Linked DNA regions of Notamacropus eugenii. The main gene of each other region encodes a partner of the protein of the gene in region 2 in a complex. Links are inferred from orthologs where the notes say so. Each region holds a gene or a part of one and is shown on either strand. Other genes may lie near its edges.

The links. The genes of interacting proteins can lie anywhere in the genome.
Region 1: GATB (region 2) and GATC share a complex: the UniProt entries of both Homo sapiens proteins name them as parts of the heterotrimeric GatCAB amidotransferase (AdT) complex. The link is inferred for Notamacropus eugenii from reciprocal best matches to the Homo sapiens genes GATB and GATC.
Region 3: GATB (region 2) and QRSL1 share a complex: the UniProt entries of both Homo sapiens proteins name them as parts of the heterotrimeric GatCAB amidotransferase (AdT) complex. The link is inferred for Notamacropus eugenii from reciprocal best matches to the Homo sapiens genes GATB and QRSL1.

The regions. Positions count from the first base shown.
Region 1 is NC_092875.1:24,825,889-24,829,635, forward strand, and holds GATC (glutamyl-tRNA(Gln) amidotransferase subunit C, mitochondrial), read right to left. Parts: upstream 2,773-3,747; coding exon 2,453-2,772; intron 2,101-2,452; coding exon 1,997-2,100; intron 1,104-1,996; coding exon 1,054-1,103; 3' UTR 348-1,053; downstream 1-347. Other genes in the region: TRIAP1 (TP53-regulated inhibitor of apoptosis 1), read left to right, coding at 2,893-3,039, 3,361-3,444. UniProt on the Homo sapiens protein: Allows the formation of correctly charged Gln-tRNA(Gln) through the transamidation of misacylated Glu-tRNA(Gln) in the mitochondria. The reaction takes place in the presence of glutamine and ATP through an activated gamma-phospho-Glu-tRNA(Gln).
Region 2 is NC_092877.1:149,562,824-149,566,570, forward strand, and holds the start of GATB (glutamyl-tRNA(Gln) amidotransferase subunit B, mitochondrial), read right to left. Parts: upstream 2,215-3,747; 5' UTR 2,178-2,214; coding exon 2,029-2,177; intron 1-2,028. UniProt on the Homo sapiens protein: Allows the formation of correctly charged Gln-tRNA(Gln) through the transamidation of misacylated Glu-tRNA(Gln) in the mitochondria. The reaction takes place in the presence of glutamine and ATP through an activated gamma-phospho-Glu-tRNA(Gln).
Region 3 is NC_092873.1:186,017,240-186,020,986, reverse strand, and holds the start of QRSL1 (glutamyl-tRNA(Gln) amidotransferase subunit A, mitochondrial), read right to left. Parts: upstream 2,815-3,747; 5' UTR 2,717-2,814; coding exon 2,693-2,716; intron 1-2,692. Other genes in the region: RTN4IP1 (reticulon-4-interacting protein 1, mitochondrial), read left to right, coding at 3,555-3,747. UniProt on the Homo sapiens protein: Allows the formation of correctly charged Gln-tRNA(Gln) through the transamidation of misacylated Glu-tRNA(Gln) in the mitochondria. The reaction takes place in the presence of glutamine and ATP through an activated gamma-phospho-Glu-tRNA(Gln).

The DNA of each region.
Region 1 (3,747 bases), on a different chromosome or scaffold from region 2:
ACCGCTTATGAGGTTTTTTTGGTTCTGTTTTTTGTTTGTTTTTTTTTTTAGTGTGAACTGAGTTGCTCTCTGCTCGGAATCTACATTCCAAATTGACTTAGTATCTTAGGATTTTTTTTTAATAACTTTTTTTTTAAAGGAAAAACTACATACAACTACATACATACAGTTTCTACCAGGGCCATATTGGCAGTGAAATATTTTGAACTGCTGCAGTTGTTTTGGTTTAGAAGCAAGTTGCATAGTTCCCCTTCCTCCCCCAATTATGGAGAAAAAGCAATGCTGTGTCAAGGTGGGTTACTCTGCACAGACACTATATATAGGAATCAGCCCATTCTGTTTAGAAATATATTTCTAAAGTTTAATAGTTTCCAAGTCGTGGTTATTTTAATTACGTAAACTCAGTTTTTCTGTGCCAGGCAGATAGAGGATTAAAAGAATAAGAGAAGTTATCTGAACAGAACTTCTCAGTAGGGGCTTGAACGGGAACAGTCGGTGGTGGTCTGCTGTTAGACGAAATCCAGTGCTGAGCTTTTCAGTCTGTTTCTCTCTGAATGGAGGCTTTGGCAGTAGAGGAAATCACTGATAAAAGAAGATACTTTATGAAGAGACTAGGAATACTTAGGGAGGAAATATGAATAATCCAGACTGCATGGAGTCCTTTGATCAGGAAAAAACAAATTCTTGGGCAAAAGTGCATTTTGGTTAGAAACTCACTCTACATAACAGCATGCAGAAACTCTGAACCAAAGGTGATTTTGCAATTACCACAAGACACTTCCAACATGTGACCCAGGTACTAAGTGAATTCCTGATCCATTTCCTGGGAAGCTTTTCTCCAAGTCCCTAGTCTTCCTTGACCTCTATCGGGGAGAGCAGGATCTCACTTCAGCAGTTCTCCATCCTCACCCCATCTTCACTGGAGAGCAGCAGGGGGAGAGGAGAAAAGGGGCCAGAACCTGGTTGTGTTGAGGAAGTTCAAGGGAGTTTTTTTCAACTTAGTCTTTCCCAAGGTCCTCCATCTACATCATTTCCTACTGTGAGCACTATTCCTCAAAGCAGTGCTGGATCTTGTTCACTTTGTTTTGGCAGAGTGATGTTCCCTGTTTAAAATCCAAAAAGGAAAGAATTACAGTTAAGCCTAACTCTTCTTGCTTCTGAAACTAGTTGGTGTTTCATGAAAACAATGTTGTCACCACTCTGCTTTCTCAGCTAGGAATACCTGGATCACTACTAGATTTGCTACACATTTAAGAGGGAAAGGAGTGCCCATTGTGGAATTACCTAACATCCTCAGACAGTGGGGGTTGCAATTGGCAGAAGAAACATCCACACCAAAGTAATTCCTGAAATACTTTAGATAGGCACCTCTGAGCAGTGGGAAGGAAATGAAAACTACCTGGCTTAGTTCTGGATTGGGGTTTTTTGTGAGGGAGGAGGTTATCAATCAGTGAATCCATATAGTCACTTGACACATCCCAAGAAGAGGAATTTGAATCCATATTCTCCAGAAAAAAATCTATATGGCTCAAGGGTACTCCCCCTGCTTCCAGCAACTACTTGGTAACGTTTAAGTAATTCACAGAACCAGAGACACTCTACGATCTATACCAAATTGAGATTCCCTGACCCAACCGGAATCCCTTTCAGTATGGGGGTAATATGGAAGTGCTATGCCCTCTACCAGCTTCCTGGACTGGCATCTAAGCTGGGCATACGTCGGAGAAGGGTGAGGATACAACGCTGTTATGAAGCTCAAAGTCCAAAATGTAGAACTGACTTCAAAAAACAGGCTGCTAAGTTGTGGGGTTCAAATGGGCTGAAAGTCTTACATGGAAAAGGTTTACAACGCGTTTACAGCCTAAGGGTGGCTAACACCTCCCTGGGATTCAAACAGCACTTTATACTCCCAGAATCATTTCAAACCTATTCATCCCCCCCAAACCTTGCCTCTGAGCTGCAACATGACTGCCCAGCACCCCAATGTAGCATCTACCTGGGGGTGCCACAAAATACTCCTCCACAGTCTGCTGCGAGTTCTGCAGCAGGTCTTCCACACAGCCGCCTTCTACCACGTCGTCGGCTCTCAGGTACAGGCACCTACAACAGTCCAGAAGCCCGCCCCATAGGCAAGGGGCCCGGACCCCGAGCTTCTGCCGCGGGGGTACGGGGCGGGGGACCTCCACCAGCCCTGGGGCCGGTCTCCACACTAACCCAATCACTTGGAGCCGCGTTTTCGCACTTTTGGGTGGGGTGGATTTCCACTACTCGTGACCTCCTGCTGACACCGGAGGCACGCCCACCCCGCTCCTGGGAGGGTAACTGCAGATGACGTCATGTCATCGAGGGGGCCGTTAAAACGCCGGCACGTGTGGCGCTCCTGCGCTGGGCGATCGGGGATCCCTGCCCGAGGAGCCCCCGCGTGCACACGGACGTGCACGGCCTTGCCTACCGGTCCTCCAGCACCGACTCCATGGGCGCCACGCCGTCCGTGTCCACGGCGCGGAGCTTCTCCGCAAACTCGATGGCCGCCCGCAGCCGCTCTACGCCCTCGCGGTTTCGGAAATCCACCAGGGCCAGGCGCTCCAGGTGCTCGATCAGCTCGGCGCTCACTCGGTCGCCCGGGCGGGGGCCGGGGGGTGGGGGCTTCCCCGAGTCGTCCCCCGCAGACCGGCAGCTCCCGACTCGTGCTCCCGGCCCCCCGGCTATGGCGCCCCTCACGCCGGGGCTCAGCCCTGTCCGCAGCGTCCGCTGGAGCATCCGACGCCACATCTCCGGGGTCGCGGCCGCCTCACTGCGAGCCGGAAACGGGCGCTCCGGCGTGACGTAAGCGGCGCTCCGCGAGTGACGTCGGCAGCGCGCCGTCGCCCTTCCACTGCGGGGCTGGTCGCCATGAACAGCGTGGGAGAGGCCTGCACCGACATGAAGCGAGAGTACGACCAGTGCTTCAACCGCTGGTTCGCCGAGAAGTTCCTCAAGGGCGACGGCTCCGGGGACCCCTGCACCGACCTCTTCAAGCGCTACCAGCAGTGCGTGCAGGTGAGCCCCGAGAGCCGCGGGTTGGGCGTGGGCCCTGCGTGGCCGTGGCCACTGGGCTCCCGAGCGCCGCCGGCCGGACTGGTCACGTGCCGGCGCGGTGGTGGGGAGGGGTCGGCGGCCCAGCCCTGGGATCCCCTGCTGTGTGCCTCTGAGGCCTGAGTGCCCAGCTCGGAGCTCCCCGAGGAGGGTCACAGGTCGGGAAGCCAGCCCAGCGCTTGGCGACGTTGGTCTGATTCCTCGTCCGGTCAGGAGCGCTTTAGATTCTTGAGACGCTCCTTTCTCTGAGTCTTTCCTTTGTATATGTCATTTCTCAATCCACAGAAAGCGATCAAGGAGAAGGAGATTCCTATAGAAGGGCTGGAGTTCATGGGCCACAGCAAAGAGAAGTCGGAAAGCTCTCCTTGACCTTGACGGCCGCCTTCGCGATGACCTTTTCAGCTGCAAACATTCAGACGTCAGGAAGACTGGTCTCTGGAGACGACTGGTTTTTAGGAGCTTTTTAGAGGAAGAGTCCCTTAGGTTTATTTACTGAAAGGCTCGGATAGACCTTTATTATTTGCTTTCAGGTGACGGATGGCACCTCGCTGGTGTGGCATCTTGCAGTACCAAACATGGCATAAGAGAACAAGTCTTTAGATGAACAGAATGTACCTTGGTCTGCTGCACTTATGTGGTCTGCACAGAAATACCAGTACATGTACTCCTGAG
Region 2 (3,747 bases):
AATATTATAATGAATTCAGTTCAATAAACTCTTATTATGGCTCATTGTTTTAGTGAACCATAGAGATATAAAGATGAAATAAGAAACAGTCCCTGTCTTTAATGAGCTAGTAGGCAACCCATTAAGCCTATAAGTTGCAGAGCAGGTGTAAATCTGCATTGGTAAAAGGATTTTCCCTGCTGGGAGTTCCCTCTGTCAATGAAATCACGGGTGTGGTCCCCACTATGCTGTACTACTAGGGATACAAAAGTCGCACAAGGTCATGTTCAAAATTTTTAGTCAAAGACTATCTTTTCAGTGAGACTTCAAATGATCACAGTTAACAGTCTAGTACGGTGCAGTAGAATGAGTGCTGGGTTTGAAATTAGGGGATTCTATTTCTGGCTTTGCCACTTACTACTTGGATCACTTTAGGCAAGACACTTAATCTGTCTGGGCATCTGAAAATACTGAAACAGATGCTGTACCTCCTAGGTCACTTCCAGCTATGAATCTTTGCTTCTATGATCTAGTATAATCTAGTTCTTAATTTTTTTCAAGTCTGAGCTCCTTTTCCCCATTTTTTAATATATAAAAAAATTCAGAACCCCACAAATGAAGGTAGCTGTACTACTGATATCTACTAAGATACATGATAAAAAAAAAACAAAACAACCTACTATGAATTTAACAATGTTTTAAAATGTATTTGAATTTTATTCATCATAACAGCATCTATGTAAATTTGAAAAATAATGATATTTGTATTTGGGACATTACTCAGTTTACATTGGGTTTCTTTACTTATCTGGGGATTCATTTCTTGATTCTTTGATTCCTGGCCTGAGGCCCACAGGTTGAGAATCTCTGGTCTAATGTAATCTCATTTTATAGATGAGGAAACTGCAGTTCCCAGAGGGTAAATTAACTTGCCCATGATCACCAAGGTACTAAGTGCAACAATGACTCAACCTCTTTCACAAAACCTTCATGAACTGTGTCTTAAGGCTTCTCCGCTCTTAACTCCTGCACAATAATTTTCAGAATAATTCATTTGGTCTCATATACATGTATATGTATCATATATGTATGTATATAATCTAGTGACACTGTTATTCAATTATTAAACCAGTCTCCCCAAAGCCTGTAAGCTGCTGGAAGTCGGAGGCTTAAGTTCTATGCTACTTTTTACCTTCTACACAGTACCAGTACAGTGCCTGGCACACAGCCCAAACAGTCAATGATTTGATTTTGAAAGCTGCATCATAGTGTAGGGGAAACAACACTGGTTTTGGAGTTCAAGGATATGGCTTGAAATTCTAGCTCTGCTTGTTACCTGCACAAATCTGGGGCTGAAGTCACTTAGGTAACCTCTGACACTTGGAGGTGCCAGTGATCCTTGAGTACTTAAGAGCCTAGCACACAGTAGGTGAATAATGAATGTCTGTGGATTGGCTCACCTAGTCTGACCAACCCCCTCACTTCACGGATGAGGAAACTGAGGCACAGAGAAGGGAAAATGCAGCGCCTGGCACAGCGCAGGCGAATAAGAAATGCTTGTGAACGGACTAGTCCAGCCTCAGCACCCGGTCTGTTTCCACTGTGTCTCCCTCTGCTAACACCTCTGGATGCGGTGGAAGGAGACTTGACTTCTGAGCTTTCCCCCAGATCCTGCTCTCAGTCTGCGGGCCACGTGTCCCCGTGTCGTTAGGCCCTCGGGTCCCTTCCTGAGGGGCTCTCAGGTCTGGGAATCCCAATCCGCGGCTCCCCCCACCTCCACCACCCTCTTTTCTCGGTTGGCTGCTACAGGACTAAGAGATGTACAGCTGAGCCTGCCTCCTTCCCATTCCCGTGCCCACCCCACTCCGGACAGGAGACTCTAGAACCCGCTGGGGATCCCCGCTTCCAAAGCCGCCCCCCCTCCCTGCCCCCAGCGAAGCCGGGCAGGGGCCTCGGGACAGCGTGCTCTGGAGGGGAGTAACGCGCCCCACCCCCACCCCTACCCCCACCCCCCGTCGGCCCTTCCTCCTCCCCTGGCGGCTTCTGTACCCCGGCCTCGGCTCCTGCGCCGCTGCGGAGCTCCGCCCTCTCACCCGGCCCGGCGCCGGCTCGGCGAAAAGCGGTCTCGTGCGGCGGGGACGGGAGCCCAGAGACCAACCCCGTCCAGCTCGGGCGCAGCGCAGCATGGGCGCCGCCATCGCGCCTCCGAGGCTGAGTCAGGTGACCGCTTTCTGAGCGGCAGCCGCGGAGCTCCCCGGGAAGCGTAGTCCCGGAAGCACGGAGGGGCAGCGGAGACTCCCAAGGGAAAACTACCATTCCCGTCGACCCTTGCGGGGCCCAGCACGTGGGCGGAGGCGGAGGAAGGAGGAGCCGAAGCGGGTCCGGGCTTTCCAATTCTTGGGGGAGGCTAGTTGACTGAGCTAGTCAAAGTGACTGGATAAACTTTAACTCAGTTCACCTCAGTGCCAGTCGGCCTACTTTGTACCAGCCACTGCGCTATTGCAGGTTGGCAGGGTCTCAAGGGCAAACCCAGGACGGTGCCCTCCTTGCCCGCTGGCCATTTCTGGGGCCCGCGAGGACGCGCCACAGCTTGTTGGTGGTTCTTGTCGTTCTCCAGGAGGACCAAAGTGACGCCAGCGTGTTGGGGGCCCCGTAGAGCGTGCCCGCGGCCGGGCCAGACCAGGCCGGGCCAGACCAGGCCGGGCTGGGAAGGCTCCTCCAGCACAGCTCGGGCACGCGTGGAGCGGAGAGGTCTCCAAGTTTGCCCCCCCCCACCCTGCTTTTGAGCAGGGGCCTTCTCTGATGTACAAATAACACCGTCAGCAGGAAGGTCAGAGGACCATGAGTTCAAGAGGGACCTCAGAGAGCAGGGCTCTGGGCCCGTGTCTGCCATGCTTTCCGCTGGACTCCAGAGTTCTCCTGAGAGACCTTGAGATAGATCTTCGTGCGAGCGCTTGCCTTGTGCGAGTTCTGAAAATATTTGGTTAGGCAGATGTGTGTTTGGCATTTAAACCCCTTGGCCAGTCCGTCAGAGTTGCGGTTGAGTTGGATGCTTGGCAGTTCAGAAGGGACCCCTTATGCCTGGTACCTTACCTCCTCAAGTGACCGTCAGAGTCTTCCTGATGGAAGCAGTTCAGTTTGCTGAGGTGGCTGGTAGACTGTCCAGGTTTCATAGGCTTACAGCAGTGAGGTTAGCACAACAGCTCTGTAGACTTTCGGTGGGTAGGCCTTCCAACACCGCTCCTTTCTCCTTTCTCCTTTCTCCTTTCCAAGCCTCCCAGATACTGAACTAGTTCTGACAAGGTGTGCATCATGAATGTGTCCATCCTTGGAAAGCACACCGCTGAGGTAAGTGAACTTATGCACAGCATTCAAACTTTATCCATTTGCTATAACCAGTGGGTTCCATGTATGGACGGCATGGTGCTGGCTGGTGGAGCACCCTGTTTTCTTGGTGTTAGTTATTAGGCGTAAGTGGCAGAGTGTTGGTGTGTCTGAGGAAGACTAGTACTTGTGGTGTGAGGGCTGTTGAGCCCCTTTCAGGACTGCTTTCCACCTTTGGTGTCCACCCAGTTGCCCCAACTCTTCCCTGTGACTCCAAGCTATAGTATGCACAGCGACTGTGCCCTGGTGAACTGTTTCAGCAGATGGGCTAAACCAGCTTGAGAGGGTCTCAAACCCTGTGAGTTAGGGGGATGTCTATTCTAAGCACAGGAAAACTTCCCCCACTGGAATGGGCAGATGAGAACAATTTGTCCCAATTTCAAT
Region 3 (3,747 bases), on a different chromosome or scaffold from region 2:
AAAAAGCTTCCAATGGAGGGGAAAAAAGGGGAGGTAAGAGGGAAAAAGTGAAGCTTACTCTCATCACATTTGGCTCAAGGAAGGAATAACAGGCACACTCAATTTGGTATGAAAATCTATCTTACGATACAGGAAAGTAGAGGAGAAGGGGAGAAGCAGGGTGGGGGGGGAGGATGGAAGGGAGGGTAAATGGGAGGAGGAACAATTAGAAGTAAACACTCTTGGGGAGGGACAAGGTCAAAAGAGAGAATAGAATAAATGGAGGGCAGGATAGGATGGAGGGAAATATAGTCAGTTCCCTACAACATGACTATTATGAAAGTCTTTTGCAAAACTACACATATATAGCTTATATATAATTATATATAATTGCTTGCCTTCTCAGTGGGATGGGTGGGGAGGGAGGAAGGAAGAGAAGTTGGAATTCAAAGTTTTAGGAACAAATGTTGAGAATTGTTTTTGCATACAACTGGGAAATAAGAAATACAGGTAATGGGGTACAGAAATTTATCTTGCCCTACAGGGCAAGAAAGAAGATGTGATAAGGGAAGGGAGGGATGTTAGAAGGGAGGGCACATTGGTGGAAAGGGCAATCAGAATGCAAGGTGTTGTGGGGTGGGGGGAGGGGAGAGATGGGGAGAAAATTTGGAACTCAAAATTTTGTGGAAATGAATGTTGAAAACTTAAAATAAAAAAATAAATAAGAAAATATATATGTTTAATGCAATTTTCCAATTCTGCCTTCTGGAGAAGCTAAAGACTGAGTGAGGCAGACATTTTGAATTGTTTTTCAAGCTATATGAACTGTGCCCCATTCATTCACACTATTTCATGTTCCCCTTTTGACCATGGCTCTCAGGATCTTCAAGGAACCAGGCAGATGGGTGGAGTGTTGCGAGGAAAGAGAAGCAGGCAGACTAACAAAGGAAGTCAACCAATGACACTATCACTGGATGCTCTCCATTGTAGTCTAGTGATTAGGATTGTGACTTTTAATGTCATGACCCAGTTTCCCTTTCTGGGTAGCGAAGAGGCTAGAGAGATACAGTTCGGACTGGCCGTAGGGAAGAAGGCAAGATTTTATTTTGCTTAAACTGAGGAAGTCAATTCTTACCTTTGAAAGGCAGAAATCTTACATCATATTATCTTGACAGTTCAATTCCTGCTCATTATACTTATAAACCACATGTCATGGGCAAATCACTGAAGCTCTGGGCTTCAGTTTCCTTATCTGTAAAATGGGGATAATTATACCTCTATGACCTGCCTCACAGGGTTGTTTTGAAGTGTAAACAAGAAATTGCAACTTGGAAAACACTTTTCTCATTGAAGTAATGTTATAAATACAGAGTGAGGATCCTAGATTAGTACCAAAAAAGCTCCACAAAAAATATGCCACCAATACTAAACCCATAATGCAGTATTTTGATAAATTTGTAGTCCCTGTTCTGGATGCCAGGAGCATGCACAGGTCTATACAGTACAGAAAGGAGAAGAATTTAGCCTCCCTATTCTGAAACCCTAAATAAAAGTTTAAAGTTGATAGTAACTTAACAAGTAGTTAAGTTAGTCCTGCTTGGCAGTGTGTCCTCAGTGTTAGTTTCTCCGAGTCCTTGATTTTCAGTCTCTTCCCTTTTCTCTAGTTATGAACCTAGATTCCATAAGAGCCATTTCACCCTCTCAGAATTGTAGACAGTTGAAGAGGCAAAGCACTGGCATTGAGGGGGTTGGGGATTATCCAAACTGCTTTAAAACTTGCAAAGTACTTTACTATACCTCAGCCTCATAGCAATCCTGAAAGGTATGTTATCAATCAATCAATCACATTAGGCACTGTGCTAAGCACTTTGGGGTACCAACATAAAAAAAAGGTATCCCCTAGACTTAGTGTATGTATGTACATATGAACACACATATATACACATCTCTACACCATACTATATTTGCTATGCATATATTGGGTATATATGCTTAATATATTATATATGCATATATGTATATATACATATATGTGTATATATACGTACATATATATACATATATATGTATACACACACACATATATATATGTTTCACATCTATAAGCTCCACGGAAAAAACTGATTCTTTTTTTTATTTCTGGACACCTAGAAAATGAATCAATTCTCTCCATGATGGAATTTATATTCTTGGTGCACAGTAAAGTGTATACACTAAATATGTAAATAGCAAATATAGTAAGATATTGTAGTCAAATATACCATTATGTTATCAGAGAGACCAATGACTCGTCCAAGGTCACACGGTGGCCGGTGCTGAACCAAGGCAACGTGGCAGAGGGGGCAGCAAACGAAGACGAGGGGTTCTATTTCGCCTAAGTGACCATGTGTCAGCCCCCTCTCCTTCACAGCGAGGAAACAGGCACTGTGGGGCTTCTGAAAGACACCCCTTCTCCCGCGCCCCTCCCCCACACGCCTACATTAAAAGGTGCCCTAACCCGGACCCGAAGAGCTCTGCCCCGCACGGGCCTCACGCGCACACACTGCGGGACGACGCTGGGCCCGAGAACGTAACGACGACCGCGACATCACAGGCCGCCTCCCCGCGCCTGCCCAGGGCCCGTCGGCCCGGGGTGCACGGACTGTGGCGCCCCACGCCATGCCAGTGACGGCCCGGGCGCTGGTCCCTCCCCCCGCAGGCCGGTGACACTCACTTCTCGGAGGCTGAGACCTAGCATGGCGCTGCTCCCTGCGGGATCAGCCGCCCGGCCCCTGTTACCCTGAAGAGACCTCCGAGGAAGAGCCGCGGAGGGGAGAAAGGTCAAGGGCCGCCGCTTGCCGGTGTTACATGGGCGCGGCCATCTTGGATCTGCCTCCTCGCACCCCTTAGCGTCGCGCACCCCGGTTGGTCCGCGAGCAATGATCCTCGCACACCATTGGCTGCCGCTGCCTGGGTCATGCCGGGGAGTGGGGGGCGGGACTCGTGGGAAGCAGGAAGCCTCCAATCCTCCCGACCCTCCACGACCTCTAGCTCAGACCCCGGCCGGGGCTGGGGACGGGTGGGTGTACCTAGTCCTCAGGCTCCTGGGATCTCGGGGAGCAAACAGGGCTGGGCAGGGGCTTTAGGCGTTAGGGTTAGGCCGGGGTCTGCAGGGGAGCTTTAGGGGTCGGGGGTGCGGAGATAGTGCTTTGCGGGGGCGGCGGGGTGAGGACAAGCAGGGAGAGTTGTTATTATCATTATTGGACTTTTTTGGAGGAGATCAATTAGAAGAACGGGCAGAGCCCATTCATTATAGACGAAAATTGTATTTTGACCCTTGACCCGAGCAGCGGTAGAAATAGTTGATTACTGACATTAATGATTTAAAACCTTTTTTTGCCATCTCCTCCCCCAGGGGGTTCACTGATTACTTCTTGGGCCCCCCCTTTCTATTCTCAATACTCAGTTTAAAAAACGCGCTTATTTAGCCGAACCGGGCGGAGTTAAGGCTCGGGGCCGGGCCGGGCCGGGCTCGGGGCTGCTCCTGGCTCAGGTGAGGCTGCTGCCGGAGCCACGTGGGCGCCCGGTACCTGGGGATGGAGGTTCTGAAGAGGCTGGTGCTGAGGAGGGCGGGCGGGCTGTGCCCGGGGAGACCGTGGCGGGTCAGAGACTTCGGCACCACGGCTTCCAGGAGCACCGTGATGCCAGCCTGGGTGATCGATAAATACGGGGCGAACGAAGTGCTCCGATTCACAAAGAATATGATGTTTCCTGTCATATACTATCCCA